Linked DNA regions of Mus musculus. The protein of the gene in region 1 purifies or fractionates together with the protein of each later gene. This does not show direct contact. Links are inferred from orthologs where the notes say so. Each region holds a gene or a part of one and is shown on either strand. Other genes may lie near its edges.

What was found.
Region 2: the proteins of Tns2 (region 1) and Utrn purify together in Homo sapiens (affinity purification with mass spectrometry; 4 studies listed by BioGRID and IntAct, with this or other methods). This does not show direct contact. The link is inferred for Mus musculus from reciprocal best matches to the Homo sapiens genes TNS2 and UTRN.
Region 3: the proteins of Tns2 (region 1) and Sntb2 purify together in Homo sapiens (affinity purification with mass spectrometry; 4 studies listed by BioGRID and IntAct, with this or other methods). This does not show direct contact. The link is inferred for Mus musculus from reciprocal best matches to the Homo sapiens genes TNS2 and SNTB2.

What each region holds. Positions count from the first base shown.
Region 1 is NC_000081.6:102,100,819-102,106,106, forward strand, and holds the start of Tns2 (tensin-2), read left to right. Parts: upstream 1-2,115; 5' UTR 2,116-2,268; coding exon 2,269-2,343; intron 2,344-3,711; coding exon 3,712-3,820; intron 3,821-4,520; coding exon 4,521-4,558; intron 4,559-5,288. UniProt on the Homo sapiens protein: Tyrosine-protein phosphatase which regulates cell motility, proliferation and muscle-response to insulin. Phosphatase activity is mediated by binding to phosphatidylinositol-3,4,5-triphosphate (PtdIns(3,4,5)P3) via the SH2 domain.
Region 2 is NC_000076.6:12,858,558-12,864,180, reverse strand, and holds the start of Utrn (utrophin), read left to right. Parts: upstream 1-2,445; 5' UTR 2,446-2,534; coding exon 2,535-2,613; intron 2,614-5,623.
Region 3 is NC_000074.6:106,933,624-106,939,021, reverse strand, and holds the start of Sntb2 (beta-2-syntrophin), read right to left. Parts: upstream 3,283-5,398; 5' UTR 3,221-3,282; coding exon 2,701-3,220; intron 1-2,700. UniProt on the Homo sapiens protein: Adapter protein that binds to and probably organizes the subcellular localization of a variety of membrane proteins. May link various receptors to the actin cytoskeleton and the dystrophin glycoprotein complex.

The DNA.
Region 1 (5,288 bases):
GCTCAGGCCACTCTCTGCGTACCTCTCTAGCTCGAGCCACAAGCGCACTTTGAACACAAGATGCCCGCGGCAGCTGGCATCAATGTTGCGGCCCTGGCCTGGCAGAGTGCATGCAAACTTTTTCCTCTCTGTTTTCTCTATCTGAGACACTGAGGCAGAATGCAGACACAGATGAAGCTGATTTCTCCTTTTAACCCTTTTCTACTTCTGCCCTACCTAGATACCCCCTAGGTCCCTCTAGACACACCCTTGAATCCTACCTCCCTTCCCCTCCCTCCTTTACTGGGCCTCACTCCTCTGTGGCCCGGCTCCGGGCCTCTCATCCAACCACAGCTATTTCCAGGAAGGAGGGGTGTGTGGGTGGGTGGAGGGGTTTCTCCAAACAAACCCAAGGCTTCAGAGTGAGAGGGGGCCCGGCTGGGGAGAATCAAAAGAGCTCTGGAATATTCCAGGCAGGAGGTGGGAGGTGAGGATCTGGTAATGCTGCCATTCCTCAGGCACTGTTTGCCCTCAGCTACTTTCAGAAATACTCCACACTCCCTGCGGTGGGGACGCGCAGAGCCAACTAGACACTTAACTTTCTAGATCTAGGTGGGCAGTGTAAGTTCAGTGAGGGCAGAGGCTGTTTGGGAACCTGTTCCAGAGGAAAAGACTTTCAGTCCCACCAGAGGTTGCAGATGTAGGCCCATGTACCATAGGAGCAGAGGGGAAAAAAAATTGATCAGGGGAGGCGCTGCAGTGATCCATCTTCCCCAGCAGGGCTGGGTGCGGAATCAGGACAGCCCCGGTTGCCCACCTGGCCATCGGCCTGGAATGTCCTGGGACACAGCCAGAACTCAGGTGGGGATTGCAGAGCCAGGGGCCCTCTCCAGTTACAGCACGGTGCCCCACCCCTTGCCACTCACAGGGCCTTCTAGCCAGGGTACACTGGCAACGATGGGCTTCCTAGAGAACAGGCATGCAGCGGGAAGAGGCCTCAGACTCTTCAGTCTGACAGGTCTTCTGAAGGATCCCTGGGGAGGACTAGAGCAGCCCTTCATCTGTCAGATGGGCGTGAGGCAGAAAGAGGAGAGTCCTGTGGGACCCTGCAAGAGGTGCCAGAACTGGAGGAGTTGCACTGGGACATTCAGTAAATACCATGCAAATGAGGGTGACACGGTGTACATTCTTTCAAATGACAGCTAGCTACAGCATTCCAAAGGCTGCTGTCTAGAGCTTGGGCTGGGAACCCCCAGGCTGTTGACCCTTGTTGTAGGAAGGTTGTTCCATCCTTTCCAAGGGCCCCATACACCTCCTTCCCTTGACTCCTGGGACAGGAAGTTGGCCCTATTCCCAGGAGGGAAGCAGGAGGCCCTAGAGAGGGTGGAGTATGTGTTGGGAGGGGGCCTCCTGTCCAGTCCTCGGGTCCAGTGACAGCCACAGAGGAAGGAGAGACAGGCCAGAAGAGCCATGAAGGTAGCGCTCAGATTCTGGTGGGCGGGTGGGGTCCCCAGTAGAACCTCAGGTGCAGGATCTGGGAGCTAAGCCAGGAACTGTGGGTTGTATCTGGAGAGGAGCAGCTGGGGTGTTCAGGAGGAACCTCCAGTGCTTTGGGTTACAGCAAGATGGACCATTCCTGTAAGCCCTTAGCCCTTCCCGCTGGAACTTGGCGTTGAGGAGGGTACTATAAGATCCTTCTCCCGTCTGACAGGGAAGTTAGCCCTCATCCCTAACTTTCTTTCACCCTGAGGATGTGGAGTGCTGGGCTGTCAGGGGTACTGGTTCCCAGCAACACTCCCTTCCCACAGGAAATCCCAAGGGAGCATGAGGGTTCAGGCTAGAGACTGGCCGGGGACACAGTGTTCTCCACTGGCCCTTGAGCCCTGCCCTGAGACCTGAATTCCCACCCTGTGCCACTGGCTGATTCCAGGGCTGGATCTCAGGACTGCAGACCCCCTGCACACAGTGGCCCACTGGGTGGGAGGCAGCTCCAGAGATGGGGAGAGCCAGAGATCTTAGGCTGACACTCCCAGCAGGGTAGATCCTGGGAATCTGATCTCCTGGCCTCCCCCACATCCTCCCCCACCCCACTTCCTGGAGCAGCGACCTGCCCCCTTCCCGCCTGCACTTCCCTCCACTTCCAGGGCCAGGCTTCTCCACACACCAGCCAGACAGCCTCCCCTCCACCCAAGGGAAGCGGCTGCCTCGGCAGGCTGCTTCCAGGAAGCCCCAGGCCAGGCCCCAGCATTGTTCAGGCCCTGCAGCCAAGAGTCCAGCCAGCCAGACACCATGAAGTCCAGCGGCCCTGTGGAAAGGTTGCTCAGAGCCCTGGGGAGGAGGGACAGCAGCCGGGCCACCAGCAGGGTAGGAGTGCCCACCAGCTGGGCAAAGGTGGGGCAGGGTGGAGGTGCGGACAAGGCGGGAGGGCCAGGATTCAGGCCAGACCAGACCCTCTTCCTAGTTTCAGCCTCTTCTCCTGGCTGGCTCAGCATCCCCCTCCTCTTTCTTTCGCCTGACCCCCTGAGGTGGCTAGGGTAGGGTAGCAGTGTGATTCTAGCATCTGTTTTGACTTCTCTGTGTATTTCCTGGCTTGAGCCTGGATAGGCCCCGAGGGTTCAGCTAAGAGCTCAAGCCCTGACCTCCGGGGGAAGCTTGAGGGAAAAGGTATGGGAAGAAGGCAATGAGGGAAGGGAGGGTGCCTTCTACTGACGTCATCTGCACACGACGTCATCATCCACAAGTGCGTCCAAGTGTCCTGGTGGGTCTCGCCCCCAGTCGTTAAGGGACCAACGCTGCTCCCATGTTATTCTCCTCTTCACACTACGGTGGGCAGATCCAGGGAGAGGAGGGGACAGCGGGAGCTTGAACACACAGCGGTGAAGAATGTGCAGTGGAGTGGTGGGAGGAGTGAGGGAGATTGTCCACAGACTCTAGATAGGAGGGATGAACTGGGGTGGGAGGGGTCAGAACTGCAGTGAAAACTTGCAGTGAGTAGGGACTAAGGGGGACCTGGACAACTGGTGGCAGCCCAGCCAGCCACTGACCTCACTACCTCTGGGTGGGGAGGGGGCATCCGGAGAACCTGGCCACCCCTGTCATAACATGCAGAGGCAGCGAGGCAGCTGCCTGTGTGTCCCCACTGCTATTCCTCCTTCCGAGCGAACGTCTTAGACAATTGCTGCCTGCCGCCTCAGTGCACAGAGAGTAAACATGTTGTTCTGACCGTGGGGGAGGGGGTCATATTAGCTGCCTGGAGCTTGGGGACACTGAGAGCCAGGGGCTCAGAACTGGCTGCAGTCAGTCTGGGTATTATGTGATAGTGCTTGTGTGTCCTGGCCGTCAGCTCACAGTATACAAGCCTCTTGTGGGGAGGGCAAGATGGGAGGAGAGTCAGACCCCCCACTCTGCCAAGATTCAGAAAGCCCTCACATTGGAAGTGGGGGTGTGTGTGACAAGGACATCACATAGCTCCGCCACGTGAGAAGTCCTGAGTGAACCCTTAGGGAGGAGTTGACCCAGCCAAGGTGACGCAAGGGGTCACATTCCAAGCCCTGTAGAGGACAGGCCTCATGACTACCCTGAAACAGCTGTGGCCAAGTGTGCCTTAGAGTTCACAGACTTTTGGCTGGAAGAGAGGGAAGCAGCATCGCTCTAAGGAAAGGTCCCTGCCCAGCCTTGGAGATGAGCCCACTAGGAACACATACCCCTATTTGTCTGTCATCCCACCCGCAGCCGAGGAAAGCAGAACCACACAGCTTCCGGGAGAAGGTTTTCCGGAAGAAAACTCCAGTGTGTGCAGTGTGTAAGGTGACCATCGATGGGACCGGTGTCTCCTGCCGAGGTGAGGTGGTGCTCTTGGTGCCTGAGCCCTCCAGGCAGCACTTCTGTGTGGCTCAGGCTCTAGAGACAGGCAAATTCAGAAACAAATGCCCTCACTCTTCTTGACACCCACCTTGCCACAGCCCAGGAGATTTGTGACTCTACCACCTTCCCATCCTTACCTGTGACTAGGGTCTTCCCTTCCTCTTGCTCCTCCTCCTCTTCTTCTTCCTCCTCCTCTTTTTCTTCTTCCTCCTCTTCTTTTTCCTCCTTTTTCCTTTTCCTCCTCCTTTTCCTCTTCTTCCTCTTCCTCTTCCTTCTCTTTTTCCTCTTCTTCCTCCTCTTTTTCCTCTTCTTCCTCCTCCTCTTTTTCCTCTTCTGCCTCCTCCTCTTTTTCCTCTTCCTCCCCTTTCTCTTCCTCCTCATCTTCCTGTTCCTCTTCTTCTTCCTCATCCTTTTCTTCTTCCTCCTCTTCTTCCTCCTACTGTTCTTCCTCCTCTTCCTCTTTCCCCTCCTCACCTCTATTCATCCTAGACCCCAACCCCCGGCCCTCTTCCCTTACTCCAGAGCAGAACCTGTTGATAACCAGCTCTGTTCTTCAACTCCTAGTAACCTAGTGTACCAGGGTCCCAGAGCTGGCTTCTAAGGCCTGTGGGGCTGGAGCACAGTTATTTTGACTATTCCCGTAAGCCTCTGCTAACCTCTACCCTTTCTCTCTCTAGTCTGCAAGGTGGCCACACACAGAAAATGTGAAGCAAAGGTGAGTATGTGGTTCTATCTAATGGGGAGATGGTGTCTTTCCCTGTCCAGACAGGCATCTTCAGCCTCACTGGCATGGGCCACCATGTCACCCTGTCCCCTGTCACTCACTCCTGGACACCCCTTCCTGGGTGGCAGGGGTGTTGTGTTGGGCTCTTTAAGAAACACCCTACTCCACCCCTGGAGGGTTGGCCCAGGAGGGTGGACAGTGAGACAGCGTTTGTCTTGGTGCTGTGCCCAGGCTGCAGCTGGCGAGAGGATGAGGGGGGGTGGCTGCGGGGGGAGGAAGGGCGGGGTGGATAGAGAGGGAGCAAGATTTCAGAGACCAGGCACCCTGATGGGAGGTGCCTTCCCTCTGAGGAAAGGGTCCTCAGGATGCCTGCGTTGGTCTCATCCTGGGTAGTGAAAGCTGAGCCTGTTCAGGTATAATACCCTGTAGCTGGTACCCGCTGTCCACTGAGAACCTAAGGTAGCCCTGCATCTCTGAGGAACGTTCCTGGTGCTCCATCAGTGCAGGGGGTAGTCCCAGGGCCTCAAGCTAGCTTGGGGGAGCTCTGTGCCCATGGGTGGGGTCTCAACGGTGAAAGAGGCTAGTGTCCACCCCTGGCCATTGCCTGGCTGGCTGGCTCTATATATAACTCCTGTCCTGCCGCTGGATGAATGGGGGTCTGTGTGGGCAGGGGGCTGAGAGCCAAGAGCAACAAGCAGGGGGCCCAAGGGGTGGGAGACCG
Region 2 (5,623 bases), on another chromosome or scaffold:
AGCTTGGCTCCTCTCTGGGCAGTGTAATCCAGGAAGCTCGGGAGCAGAGAGGAGCAGTGTTTGCTGGCGTTCTTAATGAACGGGTGCTCCTGCAGGGCAGATCTTCAGATCTTTAGGCCCTGGAGATATTTCTCACAGTTACTGAAGATTGGATTGTTTTATCTGAGTGGTACCTACCCATGTACAGCAGAATTGGTGTCATGACCCTTCCAGAATGAAGTTTTTATCAGTGGGCAACATGGCTATCTACATTTCTACATACATCTACAAGCCGTACCACCCCTGAGGTCCAGATCCGTATTTCCCGAATGCTCCCTTTCTCTTTCTGTGTCTCAGAAGCACCTTACACTGAGAAAATCCAAACCGCATCCATTCTTCTCTGTAATGTCCTCAGCGGTTCCCAACCGAGTAGTAGTTCGTCTACTTCTGAGCTGCCCTGTGCCAGCTGAGTCACTCAGCATGCTAGTATCCTGCGTCTCTAATGCCAGGGCTGTCCCTGAGTCTTATTGACCTTTTATTTAATATCCTGTGTATCTATTTATTTTTTTTCCATCTAATCCATTGAGGCCACAATCACATATTGCTTATATTAACAGCGTTATAACAGAGAGATTAGCACAACAGATACAGAGCTGCTCGTATTTTCTTTATAACATTTACTTCCTCTGCCTGTGTGTATCTTTGCATGTATGCTTGTGCGTATCGATTTGTATATATATAAATGCATAGACGTCGAAGATCCTGTCATACTTCTCACTAATGACTTCATAGTGTCTCCTACAATGGAAGATATCCTCCTCCCTAACATCGCTGCTAACTAATCCTGCAGTGTAACATTGGTATAATAATATTGCCTAAAGTAAACCCTAAAATGTTTTCTTTGAAAATTCAACCCAGGATAGTATTTGGTGGTCAGGTCTCTTTTGTTTTGTTTAATCCATGAAGAAACTACCTTTCTTTGGGTGGTTTTTGTTTGAGTGACACTGGGCCTGTGGGATGTGTGTGTTGTTTGTGTGTATTATAGTTTGGAGGCCAGAGATTGGCATAGTGCCTTATTTTTGAGACAGGATCTCTCATTGAACCTGGGGCTCGCTGGTTGGCTATGATCCTTTGTTTCCAGAGGAAGTAGTTGGAAACAGGCATTGCTGGCACATGCCCATGCTTGCTTCCCTCTTTTATTTTTATAAAATTCGAGGGATTGAAGTCAGGTTCCCATGATTGTGCAGTAGGCTCTTTACCCACAGACCCATCTCCTAATTCCCTAGGCCTTTTGTTTTGATAGCCTCTTCCAATTTGTGTGCCCATGATAAGCCTCATGATTGATTCTCCGACAGACAGAGATACTCAACAGAGGGTGCGCTGTGATTCCATTTATCACCTGAGGCCCCATTGATGCTTTTGTAAAGTCTGGTCAAGCGTGGGATTATTTTTCTCTAACGCAGTAGCATGAAACAATTTCAGATGCAGAGAAGAGCTGAAATGTTTCCATTCGACATCTCCTTTCTCACGGCCTAAGTTCTTTAATGAGAGCACTGCTCTAATGTACTGTAGTCCTTGGTGCTTCCTGAGTTACTCTGGTCTACTGACAAGCCATGGTGTGAACGGGCTTATGTCACCTCTCTGATTGTCCTTCTCCTCAGACAGGTATCCAAGCCTCTCTAGGAATCTCTGGCCCCAGCTTTCTTCCTCGGCTGTGTGACGTGCTTCCCAAAAGCAGGACTTAGCCCCCTGCCTCCCAGTTCTCAGCGGCGCTAATATTTCACATACCAAGCTCTTCTCTTTTCTACTTGCCCTGTAGCTAGTGAACTTCTTCCTCTCCTTGAAGGATAGACCCAAATGTCATTGCTTAGGAAGGCCTTCTCAGTGGCCCTGGGCAGGTGTGACTCGTCCACTTTATGACTTTATGACTTTATCTTTCTCTTCCGGACTGCTGTCAGTCATCAGGGTTGTAATGAGGTCATTGATTATAGAGTGAATTTCATTTTATCCGTGAAGCTCGGTGTCCATAAGCCTCACTCACGTGGAAGAGGCTGTGCTAAATAAAGCCTCATGTGGATGTGCTCAGGAAGCCACTCCGTAACTGTGTCTTAGACTATATGTGGCTGGAGATGGCTTAGCAGTTAAGTACTTGACACCCCACCTCAGTATCCGTGCAGATGCCCGGCACATTTGGCAGCCTGTTTGTAATCCCAGCACGTGGGATGTGAGTTCAGGGGAACCCTGGGGTTCAAACAGAGACCCTGCTTTAACATAAAAGGTAGAGAGCAGCAGTTGAGGCAGACACCCAAGTGTCAGCCTCTGACCTCCACGTGCACATGCACACATGTACATGCACACCCACCCCTTTCACATGTGCACACACAGACCTGTGCCAGAAGCAAAGGAAAAAACAAATAAGGAATATGTTTCTGTATTTCTACTCAATACTTTCTCTTTTCCTGTTAGGTATTCATGCTAGCCTGGACCATTTTTCAGATTTAGCCTTCAGAAGAGGATCTGGGAAAGCCTTTGGATTATACTGAAACTCATTCAAGATGGCCAAGTATGGGGACCTTGAAGCCAGGCCTGATGATGGGCAGAACGAATTCAGTGACATCATTAAGTCCAGATCTGGTGAGTAATGGATGCATCACTGTGGAGCCCTCTGTATAGACTGTGTTGAAGACAGAGATTTCTTAGCTTGTTGTGCATTGTTCTTGTTAAGTAAACTTCTGAGAAACTGAATTCTGAGCCGTGAGTGACTATTGCTCTGTGAAAGGCAATCTCCAGTCTCTGTGTGGCCTATCTTACACTCCCAGCTTGCCTTTGTTACATTGTGTGTGCAGTAGTTTTACTGGGAGAAACTCCTGCCTACAGCATAACTGATGCTGCGCAGTTATGATGTCAATAAGATAGACAAGCTTAGTCTAACATTTACCCTTATTACCTGAAAACGGAAAGGAATCACATGCTTAGAGTAGCGAATACCATAGTTTCTGGTGGAAAGATCATTTTGTGGTGGGATTCCTTAACCTTTTGCCCACCTGCTAATTGCTGTTGGATGCTAACACTGGCATGTGACCTTCTCTTTCCTTTTAGAAATGTTAGTTTCTAAAGATACAGTCTTCCCCAGTGTGATCAAATCAGCCAGACTAAGACCGACGAATGACTTTCATGTGAACATTCGGATTGGAGGTCTTTGGATGCCACCCCACCCCCAGCTTATTATATAACCACTGCTTTTCAATTCTGGCTCTCCAAATGAATCAACTGGGAGTTTTTTTACAAATGCAGATGTGTTGGCTCTGCTCCAAACCCACTGAATGAAAATTTCTGTATTTTTAAAAGAGCTTCAAACATGGTTCCGAGACAGGCTCAAAGGGGAGATATTTTTGAGCAAGCATGGCCTTTTTAAGCTGGGAAAATTATATAGAGTTCTCACCTGGGTGTGAGCATTGTCCTTTTGTAACTCCAGCATTATAAACATTCCTTCGTGTCACTCTTCAACAACAACAACAACAACAACAACATTGAATAGAACTCAAAGGTGATATTTCCTGTTGGAAATGTCTGTGTGTTATGGTAAGAGTTCATTTCTTAGTCGAAACTGCTAAAATACGTGCAGGAAATGAGATCTCAGTAGGATATGCATTGCCCTTCGTGATGCTGGTTGTGCTTGGTCTGTGAAACGTCTGGATGTTACAGATAAGGCTGTGACTATGCAGTGGTTTTTGTAGCTTTAAGGACTCTTTGGGAAGTGCGTCGGCATGTTGTGTGGTGTATTCACTGTGATCTCCTAAATGTCATTTTAGGGGTACAGAATTCATATGTAGAGATGTGGAAAGTGACAGGAAAGTGGAAGAGAGACAGCTAGATGTCTCTGTACGTCTCAGAGTCTATAACTTGTGAGGCCAGGTGATCCTTCGCATCGTCCCGAATCAACCTTTATTACAGAAGACCTTGGATTCTGGGGTAGGAAGGTGGCTGCGTGGGTAAATGCTGTCGAAGCCTAGTGATCCGCGCTCAGCTCTCGGGACCCCAGTAAAGAAAGGGAGAGGAGAGAACCCTTTCCACAGAAACTGTCCTCTTACTCCATACGTGCACATTGGCATGTGCGCAGACACACATATACATCAATAGTAAATAAAATACACTAAAAAAAAGACTTTAGATATTTGTCACTGGTTCTCTGTCTTTGTCCACTAGAAAATAGTTTTATGGAAAAATTTAACTTTTAGAGTATATTCTGAGTATCCACACTTCCAAACTATTTCTTAAATTTAAAATGGCTATTTATAAAGTTAGTAAGGTCCATACATGGCTGGGGGTAATTTGTTACAGTGTATACTTTTTGGTGTTAAGATAGTTTGTTTATAAAATATTGTGGTGGTTTGAATAGCTATGGTCCCCATAGACTCAATGTTTGAGTGCGTGACCCATAGGGAGTAGCACTATTAGAAAATGTGTCACTGTTAGGACGGGCTTTGAGCTCTTTTGTGCTCAAGCGACACCCAGTGTGGCACACGGTCTTCTTCTGCTGCCTGTGCATCAAGATGGCTCCTCCAGCACCATGTTGGTCTGCCTGCATGCTGCTGTGCTTCCTGCCATGATGATAATGGACTGAGCCTCTGAACCTGTAAGGCAGCCCCAGTTAAATGCTTCCCTTTATGAGAGTTGCCATGGTCATTGTATCTCTTTACAGCAATAGAACCCTAAGGAAGACAAGTGTTATTTCATTTACTTTCTCATTGGTGTGTACATGGGGGTTTGGATGCTCATGCCACAGCACGCCAGTGGGGGTCAGAGGACAAATGTCAGCTTTCTGTGATGTGCCACGTGCATCCAGGAGACCAAACTTGGGTTTCTTGCTGAGCCATTTTGCCAACCTTCCGTGCTGCTTTTTTTAAATAGGGAACATCAACTGTTCGAATGACTCTGCTTATAGAGTTTCTTCCTAGGCAGAGGATATAAATGTACATTTAAGAAGTTGACTGTAGCACTGTTTACAATAGAAAAAAAGAGAGAGAGAGAAAGCACCATAAAAATCCAATTTGGACATGAGTTAGGTCATTGTTGCCTAGAGTGTTTAGAAATGACCGCCAGTTCTTAGGTTGTTACTATTTTATTTAAAGTCTGTGTTCTTAGTCAAATAACTCTAGAAATAGCTAGGAACTTACTGTCTCCTTACTGGGGTCGCACAGCTGTGTGGATGACGCAGCATCCCAGTGGAGGTAATTAAGATAGAGCGCATGACTGAAGCAGCGACGTGTTCATAAGAAGTGATGATATTGAGGTGTGTGGATGTGAGTGTATATAAACATTACAAACATGGAGGGTGCTATGAGGTATTGTTAAGTGATTATGATACAGGAGGCTGTTGATGTGAAAAGTACCCTTTAAAAGCTTGCCGGTGGGAGCCGGAAGATGAGTCAGTGGTTAAGAGCACTTGTTGCTTTTCTAGGTGACCTGGGTTCATTCCCACAGCCTATATGGTGGCTCACAACCCTCTGTAACTCCTAGGGTAGCTAATGCTCTCTTCTGATCTCTGAGGACAGCAGGCACTCACACAGTGTGCATGCATACACGCAGGCAAAACACTCGTACACATAAAATAACAACGTAAACACACACCTGCTCTCCTATC
Region 3 (5,398 bases), on another chromosome or scaffold:
GGCCTATGAGGGAACTAATGAATGTGGGAAGCATGTACTAGACGGCCTTCATTTCATAGCTATGAGCACTAGCTTCAAGCCACTGGGAAACAAGAACCTCTTGTTTTGCATGTTAATATGGCATAAAGGGCTGAACTGTCTATCCATCACTACTCCATACCACAAAACTGGATGAAATTCAATATTCTGGCTCTAAGAAGTAATACCCAAATACTTACCTAGACCAGTGTCTAGGTACTCAATTAGAGTAGCAACTATTTTTCCAAACCTACATCAACTGTGTTGTGTTTTTACTTCTTTCACTAACGCTAGTTTCTGGGCACTTGACTGGCCCTACCTAAAATTGGGATATAAACAAGACTCATAAATAAGACATTATAAAATTGGGGCATTGCAGTTTCACAATTAGAGCACTTAAAAAAAGAAAAAAAATTAACAATCTTTAATTATGTGTCCAGGTGACTGGGAGGCCACAAAGTGTCAGATGCCCTAGAAGTGGAGTTCCAGGTGTTTGTGGGCCACCCGATTTATGCTAGGAACTGAACTGGGGTCCTCTGAAAATGAAGTACAGGGCCTTAACCCACTGAGCCATCTCTTTAACCCCTGATTTGTTTGTTTGTTGTTTCTCTGCCCTGGCTGTCCTGGAACTCTGTAAACCTGGCTGGATTCAAATCCAGAGATCCACCTACCTCTGCCTCCCGGTGCTGGGATTAAAGGCGTGCACCAACACTGCTGCACACCATGTTATTTCTTTATAAACTGATTGCTTCCAAGTATCAGATTTACAAAAAAGTGAAAAGTAGGGCTGGAGAGGTGGCTCAGCAGGTAAGTATGCTGCTCTCACAGAGGACTCAGGTTTGATTCCCATTACCCACTCTGGGCTCACAATCATCTGTAACTCTAGTCCCAGTGGATCTCTCTTGTGGCCTCCAAGGTCACCAGGTACGCATGTGGGGCACAGCTATAATAATACGCTATATAAATGCAGGCAAAACACTCATATGCATAAAAAAAAAGTTTAAAATTTTTAAGAGAAAACTGAACGGGCTATGGAGGTACATGCCTGTCAATCCCAGCACTCATGAGGCTGAGTTGGTAAGATGACCACCTTGAGGCCAGACTGGCCGTAATGTGTACATGCTCACACACACACACTATACACACGCAAGCTGGGCACTGTGGAACATGCCTTTAATCCTAACACTTAGCAGGTCAATCTCTGAATTCCAGGCCAACAAACAAAGAAAAAACCTAAGTTCTAATTCTGCCCTTAGTCTGGTGGTTTTCTCCCCAACTTCAACCCCTCCGTTCAGTTCTCCTGCCAGCAATCCCTCCTGACTCATCTCTGCACACTTATATCCACCACTTCCTGGAAAGCCCTCCTGGACTAAGCCCATTTCCATCAAATTCTTTTCTGGATTTGTTTTTAACAGAGTCCTACTGCGTAGCCCTAGCTGTCCTGGAACGCATTACGTAGACCAGGCTCCTCTTAAACTCATGGATCTGCCTGTCTCTGCCTCTTGAGTACAAGGCTGTAAACCACGCCAAAATGCTACCAGCAAATACGCCTTAAATTTGTGATCCCTTAGCATCTTGTACCTTGTACCAGAGTCAAGCACTTGATGTTATTCCTCCCTAGAAGTTGTTTTGCATTTTCTATCATTTCCCACCGCAGAGATACAACAGGGACAGCACCTTTCACATTCTCTGTTATACAGCTAGCAGCAATAAATGCTCCTGGAATGACTTGACTCAACAGCGAAAAACGGAGCTGGTCTTGCAATTATTTCTAAAGCAAGCAACTGGCTTCTCACTTACAATATTCCATCACCTTCAACATGTATGAGTCTTTGGAGATGAGATTTAATTCTGCCTCAGTTACATCGATACGCGTGAAACGCTGCACACAAGATCGCATCTACACTTAAGGTAAAGGCTATTCACACATATGTGATGGTACCCGTTTCAGGATTCTTATAAAATGTCTACTGGTCTTGCGGCAGCACGCCTGCCAGCGATAGGAAGCTGGCACCGGGCTCTTGCAAAAGGGGCGAAACTCTAGTTGGCAGTAAAATGCTCAAACACGTGAGCCTCCACTGTTAAACAAGGCTCATTAACCTCACAAACTTGCTGTATCAGCTCTCTGCCTTCCACAAAGTGCTGTGATCTTCTCTGGTTATTGTTGAGAGCCAATGATGGGTTAAATTCCCATAAATTAACCAGTGCTTTGGTGGTTTGCCCAAGCAAACTGCTGGCATCGGTGTGGATGGATTTAATAGACCGGCCCGCCCGGGGAGCCCGAGGTGACTAAAGAAAGCGTCCAACCAACGCTTCCCAACAGGGAAAAAAAGGAGACTAAAGAACTCGAGCCGATCGCTCTCCCGGTAGTTAGTGCTTAGTGTCAGCTTATCGTGCAAGACTTAGGGGTGAGCTTCGCACGCGGCTGCTGCTCCCCCCACCCCCTAAATCTCAGCTGAGTCTCGCTAAGGGGCGGTAAAGTAACACTTCGGTGGCTGCCCAACTTTCTTCTCGCTGGACGCCTCAGTTTTTCCACACTCTGGAGCCCCACAAGAGGAGGTCTGGTGGCCGGGGCGGAGGGAACCGGCGAGCCCCGCACAGGCGTCAGGGTGGGCAGAAACAAAGTGCGCGCAGGCGAGCCCAGGCCGCCACCCCGCCGCCTCCCGCTCGGCCCCCGCTCACCCTCCAGCAGCACCTCCTTGCCCGCGCGCTTCAGCGCCTGCACGGCCTGGTCGTGGGTGGCCTGGCGCAGGTCGGTGCCGTTCACCGACAGGATGGCGTCGCCCAGCCGCAGCGCCCGGCTCTGGTCGGCCGCCAGCCCCGGGAAGATCTTGGAGATGAGGATCGGCATCCGGTTCTCGCGGCCGCCCTTGATGCTGATGCCCAGGCCGCCCGCCTCTTGCTTCACCACTCGCACTCGGCGCACGGGCGGCGAGGCGCTCGCTTCCCCCGCGGGACCGCGGGGCGGCGCGGGAGGGCTGGGCGGCCCCAGGCCACGGTTCGGGCTCCCGGGCAGAGACTCGCCGCCGCCGCCGTTCGGAAGACCGTTGAAGGCGGCCGCCGGCGGCTCAGGCTCGACTGCGGCGGCGTCGCCCGTCAGGCTCAGGCTCTCGCCACTGAGCTCGGCCACCACCCGCACCCAGCGCTCCCTTAGAAGCAGCTCCACCAGCCCCGCTTTGGTGGCCCGCGTCCACACCGCCATGGCCGGCCCTGCTCCCGCAGCCGCCGTTGCTGCAGCTCCCCCGATTCCAGTCAGGCAGCCTCGGCGCTTCCCCCTTCCCGCCCGAGGGGGGCGGACCCCTCCCCTCCCCCCGGCGATTCATTATTCATGAGGGCCACGCCCACTTTCCGGAGGGGCGGGGGGAAGGCCGGCGAGGCCGCTTCCGGGAGGCGAGGTTGTCCTGGTTCACTGAAAGCTCTTCGGAGGTGGGCAGCGCCTCGTGCAGCGAGGCACCCCGCCGTCCTTTGCTTTGGTTCTCCGTGACCTCCTCGAACTCCTCACCTCTTCTACGAGAGCTGCCCGGGCAGGGAGAGCAAAGTCAGCTTGTAGAGAGGCTCTTTGCGATCCTGCAGGGCCGGGTTGGCGCGTTCATTCTTGCATTGATTGGTTCATTGCAAAAAAAAAAAAAAAAAAAAAAAAAAGCAGCCCTGAGCGCTCAGAGGTGTGCTGGGCTCCTTTTAAGGCCCTAGAGACACACTGAATAAAATGCACCTCAGCCGAGAGAGCTTGTGGTCTAATGGGAAAGAAAAACAGAGGCAACCAGCTAGGTGTGATTCTCTGTGGTTAAAAAGACTGCAGACCTCCCTAAGAACAGGATAAAACAACATTTGGTTAGTCTTGGTGTGAGCACAAGCAGGGGACACAGCATAAGTGACATGGGATCAAAGGTGTGGATCCAAGACTTTGTCACTGCTTTTAAAAATCACCTGTCTGCTGGCCTGTAATTAGAGGGGACCTGTCTTCTTCTTTTTTTTTTTTTTTTTTTAAAGATTTATTTATTATATGTAAGTACACTGTAGCTGTCTTCAGACACACCAGAAGAAGGAGTCAGTTCTTGTTACGGATGGTTGTAAGCCACCATGTGGTTGCTGGGATTTGAACTCTGGACCTTTGGAAGAGCAGTCGGGTGCTCTTACCCACTGAGCCACCTCGCCAGCCCGGGACCTGTCTTCTTAAGCACTGGGAACCCACAGTGCGCAAGGTCAAAGACATTTGCAGCATGCTGATGTTTTAGAGTTCCCCACAGACCAACGGGTATATATAGTTAACAAAGATTGTGCGAGATTAGCCACAAGATTATGAGGCTAAACTCCACAATCTGCCATCTGCAGAAAAAGGCTCTGAATCCAAATCCAAAGACCTGAGGACTAGGTAGAAATCTGAAGCTATCAGAAGACCAGAGAGGCCTGAGGGGGCAGAAGCGGGGGAGCAGGGTCGGAGTGGAAAGCTACTATGTAAAAGCTGGCCCAGTCCATGAAAAACCAGGAGCCCTGAAGTGTGGCAGGAGAGCGATGTCCCAGTTTTCATAGAGTGAGTATACCGCGTCTTACTGTTCCCTGGCAGCCCTCACCTGATTGGATGGTGCCGGTTCCCACTGTTGAGGACAATCTTCTCTACTCAGGTCACCATGGAAAAAATTTCTTCCGGAAACAGACACACCCAGAACGGTTTTACATCTGTCCATCCAGGCAGGCGTCTTTTAGCCCAGTCAAGTGAACACACACACACACAAAAATTAACCATCTGTGATGATTCCTTAGGAAGTTGCCAATGTGAACAAGACATAAGGTTAGTGGAATTAGGTAGTGAGTGTGCAAGGCTTCAAATAACCAAGTCCTGAAGGGTTCTGTCTTGATTCTATAAGTTTGCCAGTCTTAGTCTGGGTTCCATCTTTTTTTTTTTTTTTGGCGAATATGTAGATGACCATCCAAGAAACCGTATAAAGATTTGTTAGCTAAAGAGTCAGTGATTTTGCTAATTGCAGAGCCAATAACAAGACTATATGTAATGACCATAGCAAAAAAAAAAAAAAAAAAAAAAAAAGTCTTTTAGATATGTTAAAAAAAAATGGGGCTGGAGAGATGGCTCAGCGGTTAAGAGCACTGACTGCTCTTCCAGAGGTCCTGAGTTCAATTCCCAGCAACCACATGGTGGCTCACAACCATCTGTAGTGAGATTTGATGTTTTAAACAAACAAACAAAAAATAGCTTAGTCAGGATCCCCACTATACCCAAGGCTGCACCTGATACCTGATAACCAGACCTCAATGATGTCACTTAAGATAACCAGACAGCCCAAGATCTGACGCCCACTGGACAAGCAGACAGTGCTCTGTTCTTCTCATCTGGAGAGAGGCCACTTTGACCTGCCCTGCAGCT